Linked DNA regions of Caenorhabditis elegans. The protein of the gene in region 1 interacts with the protein of each later gene in a pairwise test. Each region holds a gene or a part of one and is shown on either strand. Other genes may lie near its edges.

Region 1 (7,689 bases):
TGAAAAAAAAAAAACTGCTTGAAATTCTTGTTTTTTGCGTAATTTTACATTAAAAACCGCCAAAAACCGCTAAAATCTGAAAGTTTTGTACATTTTTTGAATACCGCTTCTTATGAAATTGGATTTTTCAGGCTCATTTTATAACTTTTCAAACCCTTTTCCGAAAAAAAACCACCAAATCGCCGATTTTTAGGCCAATTTCCTTCGGGTTTTCAAGTTTTATTAACGGAAAAGCGCCTGAAAAATTGACAAAAAGATCGTTTTAAATGAAATTTTGAACAAAAAATCGAGAAAACCCGACGAATTTAGCCCGACAATATCGAAAATGACGCAAAGAATTTTTGAAAAATTTTCAACTGTAATATTCTGTCGTTATTGGGTCTATTTTCTGCCATTTAAAGCAATTTTTTGCGTAATTTTACATAAAAACCGCCAAAAAAGACCGAATTTCATAGTAAAATTGTTCAAAATTATGTCAAAAGTGTTTAAATTTTTAGTAAAAATAGTTTAACTCTAAAATTTCGTACTTTTGAGATTTTTTTGCAAGAAAAATGTCTCAAATTTGTTTAAATCCGGCCGAGTTTCAGATTTCAACCGTTTTTGTTTTTGGCAAAATTTTGTAAAGTTTTACTATGAAATTCAGTATTTTTTTTGGATTTTCCTGATTTTTTTCCGAATTTCAGCAGATTTTTACAGAATTTAACCCTTTTTTCTTTTAAAAATTTGTTGAACTTTCTATAAGTAGCGTCGCGCAGAAAAAGAGGCGGAGCGTAATTTTGCAACCCTGCGGCACGGTTTTTCTTCAAGATTCCTCCTTTTTCATTCAAAAAAAAAGAGAATAAAACAAGTAAAATTGGAACTTTATTGGAAAAATCAACAGAAAAAGCCATGCCGCAAGGTTGCAAAATTACGCCCCGCCTCTTTTTCTGTGCGGCACTGCACAATTCACGGATCTTCAAAAAACCCGAAATATTTTCAAATTTTCAGAAAATTTTTGGGTTAAGACGGAGCTCAAAGACGCTGATTGGTCAGAGAGTGGGCGGGGCGAATCGCTGATTGGTCGGAGAGTTCTTAGTGATTTTCTGGTTTTTATAGAAAATTCCGATAATTTTTGGGATTTCGATTGTTTAAAAAAATCCAAAATAGTCTCAAATTCAAAAAAAAACCACAAAAAACGGAAAAAATCGCGAAAACTCCCCGACCAATCAGCGACTCGCTCCGCCCATTTTCGGACCAATCAGCGTCATCGAGCTCCATTTAACCCAAATTTTATAGATTAAAGATGAACGTAAAAATATAGAAAAATATTCAATTAGTTTGAAAATAAAATTTATTTTTTAACAATTTTATTTTCAAACTAATCGAATATTTCTATATATTTCTACATTCATCTTCAATCTATAAAATTTGGGTCAATACGGAGCTCAAAGACGCTGATTGGTCAGAGAATGGGCGGGGCGAATCGCTGATTGGTCGGAGAGTTCTTAGTGATTTTCTGGTTTTTATAGAAAATTCCGATAATTTTTGGGATTTCGATTGTTCAAAAAAAAATCCAAAATAGTCTCAAATTCAGAAAAATCACAAAAAAACTTTAAAAAATCGCGAAAACTCAAATTTTCAGACCCCAGACGACATTGAAACACTCGCTTCCGTAGACGAAGATGGTATTAATCTAGAAGAAGACGCATGTACAATTAAATTCGATTCGATTCGCCGGAAAAATGACGATAATTCCGTGGAAAACGGGCAAAATGCCGCCGATTTATCCGATGAAACGGATGAATGGGATGTACAGAGACCAGATTCAGGAGATGATGATCCTTGAGTTCGTTTTAGACGTCGTCGTCGTGATGGTTGTGTGTGTGTGTGTAGAATCGTTATTTCCGTTGTTGTAGCTGTTTCTCATAATTTTTAAATTTTTTTTCCCAGCAAATTTGGGTTATTTTCGATAATTTTAACAATTTTTGCTGTAAAAATTATCTAAAATTCAGAAAAACCGCTAAAAACTTCCCGACCAATCAGCGATTCGCCCCGCCCACTCTCTGACCAATCAGCGTCTTCGAACTCCATATTGATACAAATTTTATAGATTGGAGATAAATGTAGAAATATAGAGAAATATTCGATTAGTTTGAATTTTTTTTAGATTCGATGTTTTTACATACATTTTTGATTTTTAAAATTTGGGTTAATATGGAGTTCGAAGACGCTGCTTGGTCTGAAATGGGCGGAGCAAGTCGCTGATTGGTCGGGGAGTTTTCGCGATTTTTCTGAATTTGAGACTATTTTGGATTTTTTTTCAAACAATCGAAATCCCAAAAATTATCGGAACTTTCTATAAAAACCAGAAAATCACTAAGAACTCTCCGACCAATCAGCGATTCGCCCCGCCCACTCTCTGACCAATCAGCGTCTTTGAGCTCCGTATTAACCCAAATTTTATAGATTGAAGATGAATGTAGAAATATCATTTACTATATATAAAGCGCGTGTCCTTCCGTCCGTTTGTAGTTTGTAGTTTGATCTTTGGTCTTTGAACTCTGTAGTTTGTAGTCTCAATCACCTAAGAGGGGTCCTATAGCCCCCGCCCCTTTTGTGACGTCATCACAAATTGGCGGGAAATTCAAATTTTCTGAGAAATCATTTTGGCGGGATTTCAAATTTGAATTTTTTGAAAATATTTTGGCGGGAATTCAAATTTTAATTTTTTTGAAAATATTTTGGCGGGAATTCAAAATTTAATTTTTTTGAAAATATTTTGGCGGGAATTCAAAATTTAATTTTTCGAAAACATTTTTGGCGGGAATTTAAATTTTTAATTTTTTGAAAATATTTTGGCGGGAATTCAAAATTTAATGTTTTGAAAATATTTTGGAGGGAATCCTAATGTTCAAAAAGTGGACATTTTCACCTTTTTTCATGAGATATTTTTGTAGGATTAATTGAATTGATGATATGTGTCAAACATGTCAAATTTTGCCAGTCGTTAGCACGCGCCTTGGCGCGTGCTAGCGGCTGGTAGAGAAATATTCGATTAGTTTGAAAATAAAATTGTTAAAAAATAAATTTTATTTTCAAACTAATTGAATATTTTTCTATATTTTTACGTTCATCTTTAATCTATAAAATTTTGGTTAATACGGAGCTCGATGACGCTGATTGGTCCGAAAATGGGCGGAGCGAGTCGCTGATTGGTCGGGGAGTTTTTTCGCGATTTTTTCCGTTTTTTGTGGTTTTTTTTGAATTTGAGACTATTTTTTGGATTTTTTTAAACAAGCGGAATCCCAAAAGTTATCGAAATTTTCCTATATTTATTCATTTTGTATATCTGTAAATCTATGACCTTTTTTCTTTTTTTTCGATTTTTTTTCCTCATTTTCCTCTTAATATGGTGCATTTTAGCTGTGATTTTCTCATTTCCCATGCTAGTTTTTTATTTTTATTTTTGTCAAAAATTCAATAATTCTGGTCAAAAATTGGACCAAAAATTAATTTTTTTTCTCTCTCTGTCCTCCCCTCTCATCTAATACCTATTAATTATTATTATCAGTTACGTGTAATTTTTTTTCCGTTTGTGCCTAAAAAAAACATAATTTTTGGAATAAAATTCCGTGATTTAGAATTTTTTTTTGCAATTTTTTTTCGTGGTTGTGGTAGTGGTTTTGTGATCCATTTTAAGCTTATTTCGATTTTTAATTTATATATTTAATTTTTTTTTTTTCAAAATTTTAAAACTTCTTTCAGAACTAATGAAGCCGAGAAGGGCACCAGTAATTGTCAAAGCTTTTGATGAAAATTTTCAGAGACCCACCGAGGAAAGAGGTACATCCAAATGAGTCGAAATTGAAATTTTAAGAAATTCAAAAAAATTCAAAAAAAAACTTTTTTTTTTTTTCTTTTTTTTTATTTTTTCACAAAAAAATTCGATTTGTTGGTACTTTTCAGAACAAAATTAAAAAACAAAAAATAACGATTTTTAAATTAAAAAAAAAAGATGAGAAATTGATGAGAAAATGACGGAAATTATGAAATTTTCTAATAATTTTTTTTTTCGATATTTCCAAAATTCGAAAATTTTTGTTCTTTATTCTTCAAAAAAATCTTTTAAAAAACACTGCAACTTTTTCCTCACGAGGGACGAGGAAAAATGGTTTCTAGGCCACGGCCGAGGGGCCGACAAGTTTCAGCGGCCATTTATCTTGCTTTGTTTTCCGCCTGTTTTCTTTTGTTTTTCACAGTTTTTTCCCGTTTTTTCTTATTAAAACTGATAAATAAATACTTTTTGCAGATGCTAAAACAATTTCCAAGTGAAAAAATCATGTATTCAGTGGGCAATAGGGCTGTGCGGCTGATGACTCGGCTGATGGAGCAAATCAACGTTTTTCAACGTATTAGCAATGATCAATTAGGGAATACTTGTATTTGCCATATCGGCTGAGTCTTGAGCTTCTGATTCTAGAAAAAAGTTTTTAAAAAAGTGCACACCCCTTCCAGAAAAACTCGTTTTTCCAATCAGCCGACAGCCGACAGCCGAGTTACTCGGCTGATTCAAAAAGCCGACTGTTTTGTCAAGGTGTGTGCACTTAAAAAAAACTTTTTTCTAGAATAAGAAGCTCATGACTCAGCCAATACTGCAAATACAAATATTCTTTAATTGATCAGTGCTAACACGTTGAAAAACTTGATTGTCTCCATCAGCCGAGTCATCAGCCGCACAGCCCTAGTGGGCAAGCAACGGTGAAAGTGGGCATCGTAATATGATGGATTACGGGAATACAAAACCTAAACTTTTTCTGAAACATGATACATATGATGCTTAGATGCTGAAATTACCTGATTTTCATAACGAGACCGCTGAAAAAGTTTTGAGGTTTTCAGAATTCAACTTTTTGTGCGAAAATCTCGACTTTTTCACCAAAAAATTTGAATTTTGAAAACCTCAAAACTTTTTCAGCGGTCTCGTTATGAAAATCAGGTAGTCTCAGCATTTAAGCAGCGTATGTATCATGTTTCAGAAAAAGTTTAGGTTTTGTATTCCCGTAATCCATCATATTGCATTGACCACTTTCACCGCTGCTTGCCCACTGAATACATGATTTTTTTACTTGGAAATTGTTTTAGCATCTGCAAAAAATATTTATTTATCAGTTTTAATAAGAAAAAACGGGAAAAAGCTGTGAAAATACAAAAGAAAACAGGCGCAAAACAAAGCAAGATAAATGGCCGCTGAAACTTGTCGGCCCCTCGGCCATGGCCTAGAAACCACTTTTCCTCGTCCCTCGTGAGGAAAAAGTTGCAGTGAAAACGCGAGATTTTCCGACATAAAAATTCAAATATCGAATAATTTCCAGTGCTTTTTTTTCCATTTTTGAAATCAAAATCAATTTTTTTAAAACAATAATTAGATTTTCCGGAAAAAAAACCCCGCGAAAAAGCGAAAACGATTTTTTTTTTGCAGATCCATACGATGATGTTCAAGTGGAAAAAGTGCTCAAAGATTTGTCATTTATACGAATTAAATTAGATCAGATCGTCCTACCGGACATTAATCCATTCATTCAGAAATTGCATAACTATCGGGAATTTTTCGGGTGAGATAATCGTCGTTTTTTTGTTTTCGGAAAAGTTGAATTTCCCGCCGAAGCAACTTTTTTTTTCTGAAAAAAATGAATTTCCGCCACAAAATTACCGCCAAAAATTGAAAAATGATGATTTTCCATCCAAATTTTTATCAGAAAATTTGAATTCTCAGCTAAAAAATGTTTTTTTCTCGAGAAAAAATTGATTTTTTCGCCGAAATTTAAAGGAGGACTAACGGTTTGGACGATTTTGAACGTATAGACCCAAAATGAGCTCAAATGAACGAATTTCGTAATGAAACTGCTCAAAAAATTTTCAAAAATTTTTTATGGCGGTTCAAAATTTCGAAAAAATTACACTGATTTTAGTTAAAATCACGAATTTTTCCCATTTTTCCGTGTCACATCCGTCCGAAGTTGGCTTTTTTGGAATTATCGTCCTTTATTACATATTTTGGTAGTTTATCTCATTTAATTTCGTCGATTAAAGTACATTTAAAGCCGATAGGTAACCAAAAATCATCGAAATTAGTTACCTATCGGCTTTAAATGTACGTTAATCGACTAAATTAAATGAGATAAACTACCAATATATGTAATAAAGGACGATAATTCCGAAAAAGCCAACTTCGGACGGATGTGACACGGAAAAATGGGAAAAATTCGTGATTTTAGCTAAAATCTGTGTAATTTTTTCGAACTTTTGAACCGCCATAAAAAATTTTATGAGACATGTTTGAGAAGTTTCATTACGAAATTCGTTCATTTGAGCTCATTTCGGGTCTATACGTTCAAAATTGTCCGAACCGTTAGTCCTCCTTTAAATAAATAAAATTTCCAGGCCAATTTATTCTCAAAAATTTGAATTTCCCACGAAAAATTTTGCAAAATTTATAATCTTAACAAATTTTTCAATTTCCAGATTCCAACTCGAATACACATTTCCATGCCTAGATGCAGTTTCAAAATCGCTTAAAACTACCATTAGAATTCCGGAAAAAGAGGTCGATATTATGAAGATTGTATTTAATCATAGAGTCAGTTTTTCATCTGAAAATTCAGAAAAAGCGTGAAAAATCACTAAAAAAATCGCGAAAAATGAAAAATTCAACTCAAAAAATCGATTTTTCAATTTTTTCGTTGAATTCCGTCCAAAAAAAGAAAAGCGACCAATCAGCGTTTCGCCCCGCCCACTTTTCAACCAATCAGATTTTTATTTTAAAAAAAAGCTTTAAAAATCAAAATATGACTTCCCGACCAATCAGCATCTTCGAACTCCGCCCACTCCGCCTGATTGGTTGAAAAGTGGACGGAGCGACGATCGCTGATTGGTCGCAGCTCATTTTGGAGGGAATTTAACTAAAATTGAAAAATCGCGTTTTTAAAGCAATTTTCGTGTTTTTTTTTTAATGGTGCGTCCATAGTCTGCGGAAAACGGGAATTTCCCGCGTGCGGAAGCGTCCATAGTCTGCGGAAAAAACAAGGAGTTTCTCGCTTTTTTTTTCCTCAAAATTCAAAAAAGTAGGCGTGGCCAACCAATCAGCTGTTGTTTCTTGTTTTCCCATTGCTCAGCTTAAAATTTTACAGCCTCTAATTGGTTGAACACGCCCACTATTTTGAAATTGACCAATAACAAAGCGAGAAACTCCTTGTTTTTTCCGCAGACTATGGACGCTTCCGCACGCGGGAAATTCCCGTTTTCCGCAGACTATGGACGCACCATAAATATTTTATGTTTTTTGTTGGATTTTTGAAGCAAAATTTGCTGGGAATTATGAAAATTTGTTAAAAGTTTTCAGCTTTCAGTTTGAGTTTTTTCCAACTAAAAAAAGTGTAAAATTCTGAAAAATAACGAAAAATAAATAATTCAACTCTAAAAAGCGTGATTTTTCAAATTCCCTCCAAAATGAGAACTGCCCCTGACCAATCAACGCCTCGCCCCGCCTACTTTCCAACCAATCCGCGATGAAGTGGGCGGAGTTTGAAGATGCTGATTGGTCGGGGAGACTTTTTCTTTAAAAAATCGAAAATAGTCTCGAATTACGAAAAATCACAGAAAAACGCAAAAAATGGCGAAATTATAAAACTCTGACCAATCAGCGTTCTCGAA
Region 2 (7,840 bases), 2.8 Mb from region 1:
CAGTGAAAGGAAAAGCAAGAGAGAGAGAGAGAGCCAACTTTTCATGTTCATTTGGTGCACACACCCCATAAACAAGGAGCCGCTTGTTCGTTTGTTCAAGAAAAAGAAGTCGATGAGAAGCGCAGAAGTAAGAAGGGAAGGAAGGAACTAGGCACCATACAGCCGGAGGAATAGAAGAAGACGTCACTTTTTGAAATAAGTAGAGGCAGAAGTAGAACTGGAAGACGTCAGGACGGCCACAATAATTGCCTCACGAGGAGACAGCTAACTAACCTGAGAAGTGTTCCCGTCAAAGTCCACATTATACCATATTCCTGATGCTTCCGGTCTCTCACCGATCCACGACACTTTTGCTGGAACCCGTCGCATTGTTTCGTCCTGAAAATAAATTATATTGAAGTTTTCAGAAAAAAAGAGCTCAAAATTAAAAAAAGGAACTAATGGTTCTTGTGCTTTACTATGAATTTTTAAAATTTTTTCAAGAATTATTATTATGAAATTCGCTGGTTTTGAGGCAGTTTCACTATATTATTTAATTCTGAAAATGCGGATTTGGCAATATATTTGACGCGTAAAATATCTCGTAGCGAAAACTACAGTAGTTTTTGAAATGACTACTGTAGCGCAAATGGTCAAAGAGTTCATATCGTTTTAAAATTTAAGACTGCTGAGACACGAAAAATTGGAGATTGATTCTAGCTAAAATTAACAAATTTTTAAAGGAATTTTTGAACCACCATAGGTTTTTAAACACACCAAAAAATGTTCTATTATTTTTCTGCGTCACGAAAAAAGGTAGGTAGGCAATGATTGTATGGAAAAGGGATGAAAAAAAATGGAACTGAAATTGAAAACGGGGCAGCGAATGCGTCAGCCAACGAACAAAACATCATTGTGCATCAGACAAAAAAAAGAAGAAAAATATCACCAAAAAAAGTTTGTCCAACTGATTTTGTTTCAATCAATTCAAGTTCGATGACAACAAATTGGGAGAAGGAAGGGCGTCGCCAATGAAATGAGAAACAAGTTGGTTGAGACGATGAAGAGGAAAGAAAGAAACAACTAAACAGGCAAATAGTTTGTTAGAGAGAGAGAGAGAGAGAGAGAGAAGAGGATAACTTATACTTTCACACAGAGAAAGAGGAACTCTATGTTTTTTGTGTTGAAAAGAGAGAGAGAAAGAACTAAATAGAGAACCGGTTCACGATATCATTGACACTGACCGAAATATGTTTTATTGAACAACATCGAGAGGGATTAAGCATACAGTCGGCAGAAAATTGAGAAATTCTTTCAGTTTTAATTTTAATTTGAATCAGAAGCAAGGGCGTCGGGTTTTCAATTTTTGAAAAAACTAAAAATCGAAAAATCGAAAACTTTTCATTTTTCGATTTTTCTAAAAAGTTTTCGATTTTTCGATTTTTAGTTTTTTCAAAAATTGAAAACCCGACGCCCTTGCTTCTGATTCAAATTAAAATTAAAACTGAAAGAATTTCTCAATTTTCTGCCGACTGTATGCTTAATCCCTCTCGATGTTGTTCAATAAAACATATTTCGGTCAGTGTCAATGATATCGTGAACCGGTTCTCTATTTCATTTTTCGATTTTTCTAAAATTAGCTTTAAAATTTTGTTCATTGTTCTTCATTTTAGAATAAATTGTTTTGTTTTTTTCTCAACAATGTAAACGAAATTAAACTTTAAAAATCATATTTTATGGTTAATTTTCTGAAAAAAAATTGTCTTTTTGATTTTTCGATTTTCCGAAATTTTTAAAAATTCGAAAAATCGAGAATTTTTGTTTTTCGATTTCCAATTTTTCTATTTTGGAAAAACCGAAAAACGACACCCTTTATCAGAAGTATCATAATCTATGTGGATGTATTTTTTTTGTACATTTGAAATTTTCCCGGATTTAATTTTTTCCCGGACCAGAAGAGATAAATATAAATCGAGAGTTTGAGAATAAAAAATAAAAACGAAAATTTCTCGATTTTTTGGACACTAGTAAACTATTTAAGATGAGGCACAATCACTATTTCATTCGAAAAAACAAAAAAATTTCATTATTCGAGCAAGAGACTCCAATTTTTTTTCGATTTTCAAAAAAATTCGTTTTTTTTTTTAATTAAAGCCGGAAAATTGACTTTGTCAGAGCGGAATTTACAGAGGCCTAGCAAAAAATGTGACTCGTGGGCCATTAATTCCTATCCCATTATATTATTTTCAAGAAACTTATAAGTTAGTCATGCCATCGGAATTTCAATCAGTCACGTGTGACAGTCTAATTCTGAATACAAGGAGACGCCCATTTCTCGTCTGCGTCTCTTTATTTTGAATTCGTTGTTTTATTTTTCTTTTTTTTTGGTTAAAAACTAGATTCCTTTGAGAAACATATAATTTCAAATACTTACCACTTCCACAGAAACAGAATCGCCAATTTTCAGATTCAGAATGAAATTGAACCATTCGAAATTTTGATAAACTTCTATTCGTTTCTCTACACTGACAGCCAGAAGATGTCTGAAAAGGGAAAAAATTTTATTTATAAAGATAATAAATATACATTGCTTGATCTTGGTTTATTCTCATTACATCGGATCTGGTAATCATTGCACAAATCAGAGGAGTGCAGTCGAGTTCCTGAAATTTAAAAAAATTGAGAAACTGAAAAGGCATTAATTTGACGAAAAATTTTGTGCCAAAAATACGGTAGCCGATCTCGAAACGACAAATTTTTGGAATTTTTATCGATTTTTTAATCGTTTTTTCAAAAAAAAAAACAAGAATTCTGGAGAAAAACTATACAAATTCAATGAAAATTCGCCGGGAACGAAAATTTTGAATTACAGTTCTTTTAAATTTGTCGCGTCGAGACCCGCTACCGTAGTTTTAGCCGCAAAAATCAGGGTAATTACGATACCTCCATGGGCATTGCTAATCCATCACGTAAATGCGAAGAAGCTCTTGATTTTGTGAACCATTCTTTTAATTCAGACATTTTCCAATCATCATCTGCCATTTCGCGAACCATTGTTCCTGGTGGGATCTGAAAATAGAAAATAAAATTAAAAATGTTTAATTGTGGAAAAAATAAGCAAAAGACCAAATTTCATAACGAAACTTCTCCAAAATGCTTTACAAAAACATGATTTCAGCTAAAACATCAAATTATGCACGCTTTTGAGTGTCGGCCGGATTTTTTTCTCATATTTTGGTTGTTTCTCCGTTGATCAATCGATTATCGGCTCAAAAATTACCTAAATCAACAAAAAAAGCGTTTAAAAAACTTAAAGATGACAAAAAATAAATAAAAATCAAATTTCGGCAGCTACGACACGGAGAATTGGCGATTTTAGATGAAATTCTGTTTTTTTCCCCGAAAACTATCGCTATTCGGTCTTTTTGGCTCATTTTCCTCATTTAAATCCACTTCAATCACCTCAATAACACATGGTTCTTCCTCTCTTCCATAATTCGATGAAAATCGAATTCCTTGAACTTTTCGTTGCAAAAGAGCAACTATTAGCTCGGGAGAATTCCTATTCCTATCCAGCTTCGTCGTCCTATCTCGGCTATAATCGCTAACATCCACTAATTGATCATCTAAAAAGCCGGAGCCAGAAGCTTCATTAATAAGCTCAAATCCATCTATTAATGTGCCGACCGGTATATTTTGATTCTGAAAAAAAAAACGAATTTTTAAAAATCGATTTAGCAAGAATAATGTTACTTACGAGATTTAATCTGTTAGAATTGCTTGTATTTTCACTTGTATATAAATTTGAATTTTTCTCGGACTGTGTAAAATAATCAAAATCGTGTGCAGTTAAATTTGTTATTGTATTTGATCCCGTAAGTTCATCGAGTGGGTTACGAAATTGATGAGATCCAGCTGAAATTAAAAACATAGTTTTAAAAAAAATTATTATTATTTCGTAAAATACCTGATTGCTCCGGAAACTTTGCAAATTCGCCGGGCATTCTGAAATATGCGGGTTGTTTAGAACGTTTGACGAACGACAACATTTCAATAAATGAAATAAAGATTCGTACTATAAGTGGAGAGCGGTGGACGAAGCGCGCGCGCGAAGCTCAGTGTTACGTTTCGGTGAGCAAATAGAAAAGGACGTTGTCCAAACAATTATTAGACTTCCGCATCATATACCTATTTGGTGTTGAATAATATTTTTGGTTTTGACCTCGGGTTTTCCTTGCGCGCTAGGTTTTTTTTGCCGAAAAATAAAACATCGAGCAAGCAAATGACAGAGAACGTTTTCGAAAGAGAATGAGAGAACGAGAGCTTTGACACAATTATTTACAGAAAGCGAGGGAAAATGATAAGAGGCTTGCGGAGCAGATAGTTTATGTTGCAAATGCCATTTAAAATTGCGATTCTCTTCAAAAATGGTAAATTTTATGCGAAAAAATGTAGGCAAAGGTTGAGCATGTTTCTGAAAAATTTATTACGGAATTTACGACGAAAAAATCTTTAAAAATCGCTGAAAATGTTCAAAAATGCATTTAAATGAAACAAAACAAAAATAAAAATTCAAACATGTTTCAAGGGAGGTGCATGTCTGCGGATGGGTCTCGCCGCGCGCGCTGGAAATAAAGTTTTGGTGTCTGCGCCTGTTACTGTACAATTTCTAGGCTTGTTTTCTTCGATTTTATTTGCGGAAAGAAAATTATTGTGTCTTCTAATTTTTTTAAAATGTTCCATTATTTTGTTATTTAACTCAAAATTAATTGTTTTTATAGTTAAAAAAACATTGTTAAAATTCTACAGTAACATTTAAAGGCGCACACACTAAAATTTTATTTTAATTATACATCGCGTGGCGGTACCCAGCCAATATGAGATTTTCCGATATTTAGCGACAGGTTAACATAATTTTTCGCTTTATTTCTTTCTTTTTGAAATAAAACGAAGAAAAAAGATAGTAGTTAGTGGAAAGTGGAAAGTGGAAAGTTTTCAGAAATCAAAATTTCAAAAATATCCAGAATTGCTTTAGAATGAAAGAAAACCGACAAAAACCCAGTGAGCAGATAACAAGATTCCCAGAGCCCACCCCATCTCAAATAGAGCTTCAAATTGACAATTTAAAGTTTAGAGCAACCTTTTCAAGGGTACCAACATGACTAAAAATGTTGTGGCTATTTAAATGAGTATTTGGGTAAATACAAATTTTTTGAGATAAATAAAGAAAAGATGTAACATTCAGATTGCATGTACGTTTGTTTGAGTGCGGTCCAGGCACATGAGTTTATTTGTCAAAAAGATTGGACATTTTGAAGAAGACGAGAACTCGAAATGTAGCTGGAAAGTTTTTTGAAAATTCAAATTTAAAATATAAATTAAAAAATACAGAACCTTTTTTAAATCAAACCGAACACGCAGTTCAATGCAAAAATCGATAAAAGTCGAGGAAACGGAAAGACCGGTTCTCTTGAGGATAGACGGACAACGCATTCGATTGGACTTGCGCACCAATATAAACAACAATTGAATGCAATAAAAATGTAACTGAATCCATCTTATGGAATAGTGGAAGTTATCACATTTAATAAACAAAATTAATAGTTAAAAGTATCAACAGAAAATACATTAAATTATCTTTTCGTCTCTCCTATTGAACATTGAGTTATTCAAGATAATATTTTTTAGCTAGAAATGACGTGTGTTGAACTATTGTGTGGCCTTAAGTTTGGAACCATAATACTATAATGTGAACTTAAAGACGCACGGATTCATTCAGATGGGTCTCGTAGCGATAATAATAACCGGGGCTCATCTTAAAGTCTCCAGTAGTCGCTTTTTAAAAGGAGTTTGAGATAAAATACTTAGAATTTGAAGAGAGAAATAGGATTTTAAAAAAAATTAATTGAAAAACTAACTTGGAGAAAAACTATTAATATAGAAGTGAAAAATATATTATCTAGCCAGGTAGGACGGAAACTGAATACAAAAAAAATATTAAATTCAAACTGCCGCGTTTCTTTTTGCCAGTGTGTCTAATTCTCTTGGCACATGGTCAGAGAGGTTTCGCAAGAAATATTTCAACATTTTCTTGATTACCAAATATGTACAATTATATATCTAAACAGATAACTTTTCATTTGCTAGAAAATAGTATTATATTTATTATTAATAAAGAATTTTTACATTTTCCAGAAATGTGAAAATTCACAGTAAAAGTTTTGGCAAACTGCCAAAAATGTTCAGTCACTTATTAATGCCAAAATTTTTAAAAATTAATTTTGAAAAGTTTTACCGTATTATTTAGTTAGAGCTACTTTACCTGTAAATATTTGTGACTCACTATCAATATTCCGAATTTTCAGTCATGCCCCATAACAATTGCTGTAAATTTCAAGAACCCACTGACAGTTCTGAAACCTCAAGCATGCACAATTTGGAACAAAGTTTAAACTTTATATGGCATAATAATTAAGTTACTTGTTTCTTACAGGTATATGCTACAACTGCCACAAACTTGGTCATATGTCTCGTGATTGCCCTGAAGAACAACCTAAAGCATGTTTCAAATGTGGATTCCGTGGACATTATTACCGAGAATGCCCATCACAAATAGAGAAAAAATGTAATCACGGGGAAAACAGCGAATTGAAAAGTTGTTATCAATGCCAAAAAACTTCAAGTTCATGAAATAACTTATCGTGTCTCTTAACTTTTATTCGTGCAAAAATAGCTTTATATTTGTTGATAATAAAATATTTTTACTTTTTCAAAGGAATTTGGATAAATGTGTCATAAAACATACTTTAATAGAAACTTGAGAATATTGTGTTCAATCTATGTGAAAAGACGTTCGTTACGTTTTCTGGTTTTCATACTAATGATCACTTTTTCAGTTGTTTTTCTCATTGCTCTGCTGGCAGTTTACAACACGACGTTTGCATCTAATAGTGTCTGCCACATCACCAGAAAGCCACTGATGCTTCGAGCTCCATGCGATGTCTACAAGAATCCAGTGCAATTTTGAAGAGCTGCTTTTGTTCTCATTCTCTGCATGCATAAGTGATGTTGCGTCTTTGTACTGTAAATAAATTTGGCAGAATAAAGTGCAACATTTAATTAATAGTCCATATACGCACCGAGTTTTTATAAATTTTCACACTCAACATAGTGTTTCACTATGTTGAAATAGTAACACAGTACATCAATGGCGTCACCAGCAAAAACGATAATTATCATTTCGGTTACTTTCCGATTTCACAATCGCAGTGTATCACATGCTATTTACTGATAACATCCACTCTTTCATTTCATTTCGCTTTTGCTCATTCTTAAAACAAGTGATTCAGAGCAAAACTTTTAGCGACTTGTAATACATTTCTTACAAAACATTGCTTTTTGTGTATAATTTTTCCTTTCTTTCCTATATTTTATAAATGAGTTAAAAATGTACAAATCAACGAATGATATTCAAAACCAAATTGTGATGCAATATTCGTCAGTTCTCTCATTTGTTACAATCTAAAATGGATAACTATTTAGATCTCTTCTAAATGATTTTTATTCAATTTCATTCAGATTTTGCCGTTTTGAAAATTTTTCAGGCAAACCATAAGCCTGAAATTACCCAATTTTAACACCTTTTGTATGGAGTTTTTCTTTAGGTTTTGTATAACTTTGTTCATTTTTGGATCAAGCAAATATCAGTTTATGAAATCACTGGTTTTTGCATTTTCAACCTTATAATTTTTTGTCGTATAAAATTGTTAGTTTTTGACTATCACTAAAATATTTTATCAAAAAACAATTTTTTCTACGTGTTTTAAGAAATTTTTAAAATAAGAACAGATAAGCACAATTA

What was found.
Region 2: the proteins of sas-1 (region 1) and cyld-1 interact in a two-hybrid assay, tested with the Caenorhabditis elegans proteins (one large-scale study listed by BioGRID).

What each region holds. Positions count from the first base shown.
Region 1 is NC_003281.10:12,695,750-12,703,438, forward strand, and holds the start of sas-1 (C2 domain-containing protein), read left to right. Parts: upstream 1-3,744; 5' UTR 3,745-3,749; coding exon 3,750-3,822; intron 3,823-5,458; coding exon 5,459-5,591; intron 5,592-6,501; coding exon 6,502-6,616; intron 6,617-7,689.
Region 2 is NC_003281.10:9,906,675-9,914,514, forward strand, and holds the start of cyld-1 (ubiquitinyl hydrolase 1), read right to left. Parts: upstream 3,985-7,840; 5' UTR 3,984-3,984; coding exon 3,947-3,983; intron 3,895-3,946; coding exon 3,737-3,894; intron 3,682-3,736; coding exon 3,442-3,681; intron 3,049-3,441; coding exon 2,923-3,048; intron 2,643-2,922; coding exon 2,566-2,642; intron 2,523-2,565; coding exon 2,414-2,522; intron 379-2,413; coding exon 274-378; intron 1-273. Other genes in the region: F40F12.9 (CCHC-type domain-containing protein), read left to right, coding at 6,347-6,425, 6,473-6,604, 6,876-7,006.